Danio rerio: one gene and its partner. The protein of the gene in region 1 binds, or shares a complex with, the protein of each later gene. Links are inferred from orthologs where the notes say so. Each region holds a gene or a part of one and is shown in the gene's direction. Other genes may lie near its edges. The genes, in order: ccdc135 and drc8.

What was found.
Region 2: ccdc135 (region 1) and drc8 share a complex: the UniProt entries of both Homo sapiens proteins name them as parts of the nexin-dynein regulatory complex. The link is inferred for Danio rerio from reciprocal best matches to the Homo sapiens genes DRC7 and DRC8.

What each region holds. Positions count from the first base shown.
Region 1 is NC_133200.1:14,661,236-14,665,692, forward strand, and holds the start of ccdc135 (dynein regulatory complex subunit 7), read left to right. Parts: upstream 1-1,617; 5' UTR 1,618-1,723; intron 1,724-1,843; coding exon 1,844-1,974; intron 1,975-4,457. UniProt on the Homo sapiens protein: Component of the nexin-dynein regulatory complex (N-DRC) a key regulator of ciliary/flagellar motility which maintains the alignment and integrity of the distal axoneme and regulates microtubule sliding in motile axonemes.
Region 2 is NC_133192.1:12,696,567-12,701,076, forward strand, and holds the start of drc8 (dynein regulatory complex protein 8), read left to right. Parts: upstream 1-1,576; 5' UTR 1,577-1,592; coding exon 1,593-1,614; intron 1,615-1,924; coding exon 1,925-2,009; intron 2,010-2,139; coding exon 2,140-2,212; intron 2,213-2,301; coding exon 2,302-2,381; intron 2,382-4,367; coding exon 4,368-4,410; intron 4,411-4,510. UniProt on the Homo sapiens protein: Component of the nexin-dynein regulatory complex (N-DRC), a key regulator of ciliary/flagellar motility which maintains the alignment and integrity of the distal axoneme and regulates microtubule sliding in motile axonemes.

The sequences.
Region 1 (4,457 bases):
TCTCCACTGTGACACCATGTATATAAATAGTCTTTTTTTTTTTTTTTTTTTTTTTACATTTTCCTTATTCTTACAATACTTTTAACTAATTTTCAAATATCACAGACACTAAAATAACTCCTATTTATTATTATTGTCTACATAATCTTTTTTTTTGTCTAACTTATTATCATAAATGTAACAATTTGTGCTAAGGAAATAATTATAATTTTTTTTAAATTAAGGCTGAAATTAAAACTTTAAATAAAGCATAAAATTAAATGTAAAGAAATATAAAAATTAAAAAAACAATTCAATATAAAAAATAATTGTGGACTGGAGTTTTTAAACTTTTTATCAGTCTTGGACATGTGAAAGATTTGTAACAACATTGCCTTTGATGTATTGTTAGTTTTTGTGCAACAGAAGGTTTTCATTTTTTCTCTCCCTAATTTACTGTTCTTGGTTGTTTTTGGCCTATTGACTTACATTATAACCAATTTTTTTGATTGCAAAGCCATGACACCATATAATTATGCATTTTTGATTGTCGAGGTAAAATTTTTAATTTTTATAAGAATGTAAAGAAATTTAGAAAAATCAATAAAACAAATGAATATTGAGTATTTTATTTACGCTCCTACATACACACCCACAATAAAGGAACAGTAACATTAACTAATTTAAATATAAATGTATATTTTAGCCACCAATGTTGCAATAGTTTAAAAGTGACAGTAATTTATAACAAAATATTTTTAATTAGATGTTTCTTTACTCACCTAAGATTTTTTTCAGTCTTTTTTATTAGTCTTTTGTCTGACAATACAAATTAAATAGTGAGAGGTAACGGTAATGTATTGTCCATGGTTAATCCCATCCCCTAACCTCTCATTCATTAACTCAATTAACAAAACAACAACATCAAATAAATAAATAAATGCCAAAATAAAAAAATTGAATACATGACAAAATAATAATGGAGCCTCGACTGGGTCAGTTGGCAGTTCTATGTGGAGTTTGCATATTCTCCCCATGTTGGCGTGGGTTTCCTCCGGGTGCTCCGGTTTCCCCCACAAGTCCAAAGACATGCAGTACAGGTGAATTGGGTAGTAGGTTAAATTGTTCGTAGTGTATGTGTGTGAGTGAATGTGTATGGATGTTTCCAAGTGATGGGTTGCATCTGCTGCGTAATGCTGGATAAGTTGACGGTTCATTCCCATGTGGAGACCCCAAATTAATAAAGGGACTAAGCCGAAAATAAAATAAATAAATGAATAATAATAGCTGGATATAGATGGTAAAAATAATAATAATTAAAATAATAATTATAATAATGAAAAAAAAAACCTTCTAATAAAATGGTAGAAGTTACAGGTTGCCAGCAGCAGATGTAATAGGCAGGCCTTTGGTGTAACTTAGTCAAGAAAGGAATCTCAACTCTTATAAAAGGAATCTAGTGAGCCAGAGAGTGAGCATCTCAGCTTTTCAAGTCTGATACAGTAAAAAAGTCCTGGATCCACTTGAAGATTTATTATTCTGATTTAAAAATGTAACAATTTAAAATGAATTCAAAATAACACAAAAGCTGACTCCACCCCGCGCTGTTACGTCACGTCTCCCCTCGCCATGGAAACTAAATTGCGCAACATAAACAAAAGTTTCACGCTCCTGCCGCTCGTTACGTTAATCTACTGTTTATCAGTTAATTTAGATTAGGGACGTATATTCACTTTTATAAACAGTAAGTCTTTAAACTGCTAACTGTAAAAGTAACAAGATGTATGTGTTTAATGTTTCAGTCATCGACCTGCTTTCTCCTCTCTCGTCTGTCTGTATAATTATTGCTTTATTAATTCATTAGATGGAAGTGTTACCGGAGATGGAGAGTGAGGAAGACGCGACTCTGACAGATGATGAAGAAAAGAAGGGGTTTCGGGAACTTGAAAGCAGCCTTAATAATAACATACGATTGACTCCAGACCTTCCACACATGTGAGGTTATTAAAGTTCATCAGCATGTGGCAAACTCGTGTGTTCATGAAAGCTCGCGTTTCTCCACAGGGGCTTCTCGTAAATGGACGCTGGCTGTTTACAGTGTTTGTAATCATTAGCCATAAACATGAGTGGTGTATCAACTGTGGGCTAGTAGACCAAAGTCAAACTGTTTCACTTTAACAAAAAAACTACAGGGTACATTAGTGCACAGAGAACAGGGTCGCGCTTGTTGTTTGTTTTACACTATACTTGTTTGTCTTTATCTGTGCAAAACGTGTTAGGAACATGTCCAGGTCAGTGTTATTTTAGGTCACTCAACAAATAAATTCTCCATATAACAGGTTTTTATGATTAGGATATTTTCTGTTATTATTGAAAGATTTATAAATGTTAAAAGAAAATCGAATTAATATTGTGTCCCTTATGTATGTTAAGAATGTTTTCATCCACTCTGGGGTGATTTTGAGTCATAATTTGGTCATAACGTTCTCTGTGTTTCAGCTAGCAGAATGGTTTTTGGTAATAAATCTTTATTTGACATATTTTGGAGAAAATGCTTTGAAATTAAAAAACAAAAATAAATGTACTGTTCTTTTTTATATTAGTGATGAAAACATCCAATGAAATAAACTGATGTAAAAGTGCATCAGATTAATATTTTTTCTTTATTAATTTTTGCATAAGTCTGTTAATCAACCTCAGTCCTGATCAAAACTACTAAATTGCTTATAAAATTACAGGATTTTAACTCTTTAATTGCCAAATTCATAAATGATGTCACTGATATGGTGAAAACCCCCTACAAAATTACTTATTTTCTATATAAAAAGTAATTGTACACTGGATTTTTAAAAAAACATTTAATCACAGTCTTGGACATGTAAAATATTATTAACAACCTTGCCTATTATTTAATGTTAGTTTTTGTGCAGCAGAAGATTTTCTCTCTCCCTAATTTACTGTTTGTGGCTGCCCCATTGACTACCATTAATCACATTTATTAATTGCAAACTATGACATCATATAATCACGCACTTTTGATTGTTGGTGGTTTTCCCTGTTGGGAAGAGGTCAAATTTATTTAATTTTTATTTATTTACCTTGATGCATTCGTTATTTAATGTTTGAATACTGAAACAAATAACAGACATCGCTTAAAAGGTTATATTTTACCATCAAAATGCAGTTTATTTTATATCTTAATAAACTTTTGATATGAAACTGCTGTGTAATTTAATTGATTGTTAAATATGAAATTATTTAAGTGCTATATAGTTTATTAGTGAAAGTGCTTATTAGTGAAAATATATTTCTGCCACTATAATACAAATGCACTATTATTGTTACATTATCATTGTTTTGTTTTCTGTTCTGTACGGATATTTGAAATATATTATTTATTTCCCCTCCAATCATTTTCATTCATCACCATACATTTTGGTCGTTTTTCACTCCAAGTAAAGCTTGCCCAGAGCCTCGCAACATTTGACCTCTAAATAAATAGGGGTGCTGTGACTTGTAGCCCAAACAAGAGAGCGGCATAATGTAAGTGTTAAGTCATGCGGTTGCTTTCGCTTTTACATATTAAAATGAAAAAAACTAGTGTTGGCTATTATTAAAATTTCTTTGTACAAAGGGAGCCGTTTACATTACGTTACCAAGGCAACTACTGATGTGTTTTATGTAACATTTCAAAGAGCTTTGTTGCAGCACGACAGTGGAAAATGAAACCATATCCGTACTGTCTGGTCCAGTTTGGCATGGTTCCACATAAAGAACGGTTCAGCACCATAGTGGAAAAGTGGCTTATGACACTATATAATGATGTGTTGGGAAGAAGTAAAGTTTGTCATTTCTAAGGTTGAACATCAGTTGGCACCATTAACACTTTAGATAGATTTATATGGCATATAACAGCAAATTAAAGTGTGTATTTGTGTCTATGAGTGTGTGACCTTACCTTGGTGTCTCTGTAAAAATCAAAATATGCATTTCAGCTCTCCGAACTACATGGAGTAAACAAAAACAACGCCTGTTTTTATGCACAAGGTTTAAAAAATCCAGTCCAACTCCTTTTTTTATTGAAAATAAGAAATTTTATGTTTTTCTTTCGCCAAATCAGTGACATCATTTATGAATTCTGCAATTAACGAGTTAAAATCTTGTATTAAAAAAAACATTTAGTAGTTTTGATCAGGACTATGGTTAGGACAATAGTTTATATATAACAATGGTTTGTTCTGTAGACTATCGAAAAAATAGCTTAAAGGGGCTAATAATTTTGTCCCTAAAATGGTTTTTAAAAAATTAAAAACTGCGTTCATTCTAGCCGAATTAAAACAAATAAGACTTTCTCCAGAAGAAAAAATATTATCAGACATACTGTAAAATTATTTGCTCTATTAAACATCATTTTGGAAATATAAAAAAAATTCAAAGAGGGGCTAATAATTCTGACCAATTGTACATATACTCTTGCT
Region 2 (4,510 bases), on another chromosome or scaffold:
GAATACTGGCACGGCCTGGCGCCCGGTCTTCTCGTGCACTCCCTGGGGCGAGGCGGCCTTTGAGCCCTAGGCAGGGAGCAAACAACCACCGAGGACCCTCAGGGAAACACGGGGGGCCGGTAGTGGGACCTCGCTGCGAGGGTTATGGTGGGTGGGAGTAGCGAGGCCCACTCATCTTCTATTTTAAACCATAGTTTCAAACTTTAGTTTACTATATAGTTTGAAATAGAAACCATGGTAACTGTTATGATTTAACTTTATGCAAAGAGCTTACAATGACCAAGAGCAACAGACCCGGATTCCGCCATTTTGAAGTGATAGCGATCGCTCGTCATTGCTGTCGCGATGGAAAGCAGCTGCTTTGTTTTTATTTAATTTATTCAAAAAGCGCGTTATTGTTTCCCAAATTGTAGATTGTCGCCTCATGGTAATTCTATGCTCTTCTGTGTCTGACTGTTGTGATGTTTTGCTTTGTTTTTCAGCTGAGATTTTGAGCAAAGAAGGACTATTGAAGACAACAGTTGAAGACAACCGCGGGTTATAATCACGAGCGCGCGCATTATAATGTTTTCGGGCTGTTTTCTGAAAGTGTGTCTTTGTTTAGATAAGTTTGCATGTCAAACTAAATAAACTATACTCTTTCTAAACACCTGTCTCGTTTTATTTGTCCTCTACAGCAATGCACTGTCATATAGGTCTGTTGAATGCATTTGTATGCAACATGGTTTGACAATACAGTAGTCTAACAAATAAATAGTTGTTATAAATGTACCTTCATTAGTCAACATTTGATGTTATGTTATGATTGTTATACTATATTTATTATTATTAATATGCTGTATGTTTAAAACCAGCAAATTATACTATATATTTAACATGTCATAAACTTACTGTTATTTTAACATTTGCCAAATAAAATGTCCTAAGACAAGAATGGGTGTTGTTTTGGTTTTGTGTCAACCTACTGTAGGTTTTAGGTTGACTACAGCAAGGCTACATACATCATAGGGAGTTTTTTTATAACGGAATAAATATTTCACGGAGATGATTTTACTGCGTGAGAAAACTGATGTGTGGCGTGAGAGCGTGAGAATACGGTCAATTGCGTGACTTTCACGCATTTTGGCAACTCTGAAATATTAGTGTTTGGACTATGTGATTATTTATTACTATAGCAGGTACTATTTAGCCTATATATTCTCCTGGATTGTATAAGTGCTTCTGATTTTTATTTAACACTGACATATTTATACACATAGGTAATTTAGACATGTACTCTTTATTGGTGCTTTCAAACGAATAATCGCGTTCATGCTTGTACAAAGGATGTATAAAAATGTTCCTTACATTCTTCCTTTTCTTCTGTTTTTTTAGTCAGTACTGAACTTTCCCCTTTTGTGAGCAAAAACTTTTGCTAGTCTATAAAAGATGTTCGGCATTTCTTATTTTGGTCGATTTAAACAATCATAAACAGCATAAACAGAAACATTTTTTTAAACTTCTGAAAGCGGTTCCTACGTAGAAGAACCACTTCCTGCCCTCCGTCTGAATGGCGAGTGTGTTCAGGTTACCTAGCAACCAGGGTTTTAGACATGGCGGACAAGTATAATGCAGGTAAAGATGCTACACGTAAAATGCTACGCTTTTTTTACGTTTGTGGGCTTACTGTATGCTTATTAATGGTGTTTGTATTCTCAGCATGACGTGTTTTTAAATACAGTTGCCATTACTACGACTGTTACCAGATCAATGATGTTTGAAAAGTTTTCAGTAACGTTGTTTGTTAACGTCGAGTAGTTAAAGTAACAGTAAAAGACCACACAGACAGCGAACATCTACAGCTGAATTGCTTTGTAAACACACACACACAAAATAAAATAAAAATGCGGAAAAACACAACGTTAATTAATGTATTTTTTATCAGAAAATATTATAATAGAAACTCAAAAGAGGATTGGGAATGCCTTTGATGTATTTGACCATGAATCCAACAAGACTGTTGATGTCAGGTAACGTTTCACTACGCTGTTTTTCAAAATATATTAGACCATTTGTTGATGTCTGTTAGCTTTGTTCTGCACATGTTCTACAAACAAGGAAGACTTCTTTAATGTTATCTGTCATTTTTCACCGTAAAAGGGAAATAGGCACCATCATTCGTTCACTTGGCTGTTTTCCTTCAGAAGCTGAATTGCATGATATCATCTCTGAGGTCAGTGGTTTTGTTTTGCCGGGTCATAAAATGCATCGCTCTTGTAAGTTGAGTAGATCAATAGTTATGAAGTGTCATTTCATTCACAGCTAGAAGAAGAAGAACCCACTGGATTTGTGCGCTATGAGAAGTTTCTTCCAACTATGACTAAGATCCTGCTGGAGCGCAAGTAAGACTGTAATGAAATAAAACAGTATGAAACCCAGATTATTCTTAATGTTTTTAAAAGGTCACAGACTGATAAATCACACAAATGCATCTATATATTTATATACAGTCTAACTCAAAATTATTAGCTGTCCTGTAAATAATTTTTTCTTACTCAGTTATTTTTAAATTGATATTCAACAGAGCAAGGATTTTTTTTTTCTTCTAGCAAAAGTCTTATTTGTTTTATTTTGGCTAAAATAATGGTCTTTAATAAAAAAAAAACATTTTAAGGTCAATATTATTAGCCCCCTTTAGCAATATTTATTTTCGATTATCTAGAAAACAAACCATTATTATACAATGACTTGCCTAAATACCCTAACCTGCCTAATTACCTTAATTAATGTAGTTAAGCCTTTAAATGTCACGTTAAGTTGAATACTAGTATGTTGAAAATCATCATCATGGCAAAGATAAAATAAATCAGTTTGATGTGTCAAATGAGTTATTATAACTATTATGTTTAGAAATGTGTTGAAAAAATTCTTTTCGTTACAGAAATTGGGGAAAACATTTACAACGGGGCTAATAGTTCAGGAGGGCTAATTATTCTGATTTCAACTGTACATGGATATATAGTGCTAGAAGATGAAGCCAAAATGTCCAAGGTATCAACTTGCACGGATCGTATAATTCCCACAGTTCCTACACACCCAATTGCAAGCACATAATGGCATGCATCCAAATAAAAGCAAACTTATTAAAAAATGTTCCGTATATACATCAACAATTGATGTAACGAGAAAACAAGGCGACACAGTGGCGCAGTGGGTAGCACTGTCAGCAAGAAGGTCATTGTTTAAAGCTCTGGCTGGGTCAGTTGGCATTTTTGTGTGGAGTTTGCATGTTTTCCCTGTATTGGCGTGGGTTTCCTCCTAGTGCTCCGGTTTCCCGCACAGTCCGAAGACATGTGGTATAGGTGAATTGAATGAACTAAATTGGCCGTAGTGTATGTGTGTGAATGAGTGTGTGTGGATGTTTCTCAGCACTGGGTTGCAGCTGGAAGGGCATCCGCTGCATTAAACACATCCTGGATAAGTTGGCGGTTCATTCTGCTGTGGCGATAAAAAATAAAGGGACTTAGCCGAAAAGAATGAATAAATAAGAAAACATTAATTAAACGCTTACCTTCTCTTCGATAACATTGAGGGAGCAGGGCTTTTTAAAATGTTCTGCAATCAATGACCAGAGAGCAATGGAAATATTTGGATTTCCCTTTTTCTATATTTGGCCTGTGTGAGCCAAAATCTCACTAATAAAATGTGTTGTCGTGTCTAAAGCAGACAAATGTTTTGCCTCTACATGTAGATGTGCTGGGGGTGGATTTAAACAATATGCAAGTTAATCGGCCGCTCAGGGCCCCAGTTAATCTGAGGGCTCCCAAATAAATACCTAGAATTATAAATTATACATATAAATATTATATATAACATTGCTTTCTATCATATTTTCCCCTACCTTCAATCATGGACCAGTTCAGCTGTCAAATCAGTAAAGATTTAGTTTTAAAAAACGAAATTGTTTATTTATAGTGAATTTATCTTAAGAAAACAAATGATTTAAAAAGTTTTATAAGGTGCTTTACATGTTATTATTATTTTGCATTAAGATAAAATGTAGAAAAGGAGATTGATTGATATAAGAAATAACAGCAAAATAATAATAAAAAAATTAAAGTACAAAAGGTGCCTTTTAGAACTTTTGGGTCTAATGGCTGGAACAGCTTAGGGCCCCAAAATCACTAAATCCATCCCTGAGACGTACAGTATATGACTATAAGTGTTTTAACATAATTTGCAGTACCTGTAAAAACTTAAAACTAAAATAAAATAAACATTTGATTAAATAAATATTTACTTTGCTAAAGTTTTTCCCACAATAAAATTTAATACAAAGCCTAGTATTAGTGATAATTGTAGCTCTGCTTCTTTCTTTTTTCTTGCAGGTTTCGTCCTATTACAGAAGACCTGCTCATACAGGCTTTTGAGGTGAGGCTGTTTTGTTTTTTAATTTTTAATGTGTGAATTTACCTTGTTAACATGTGAAACTTTTAGCAGTGTCAAAGACACTATGCAAGACACCTAAGAC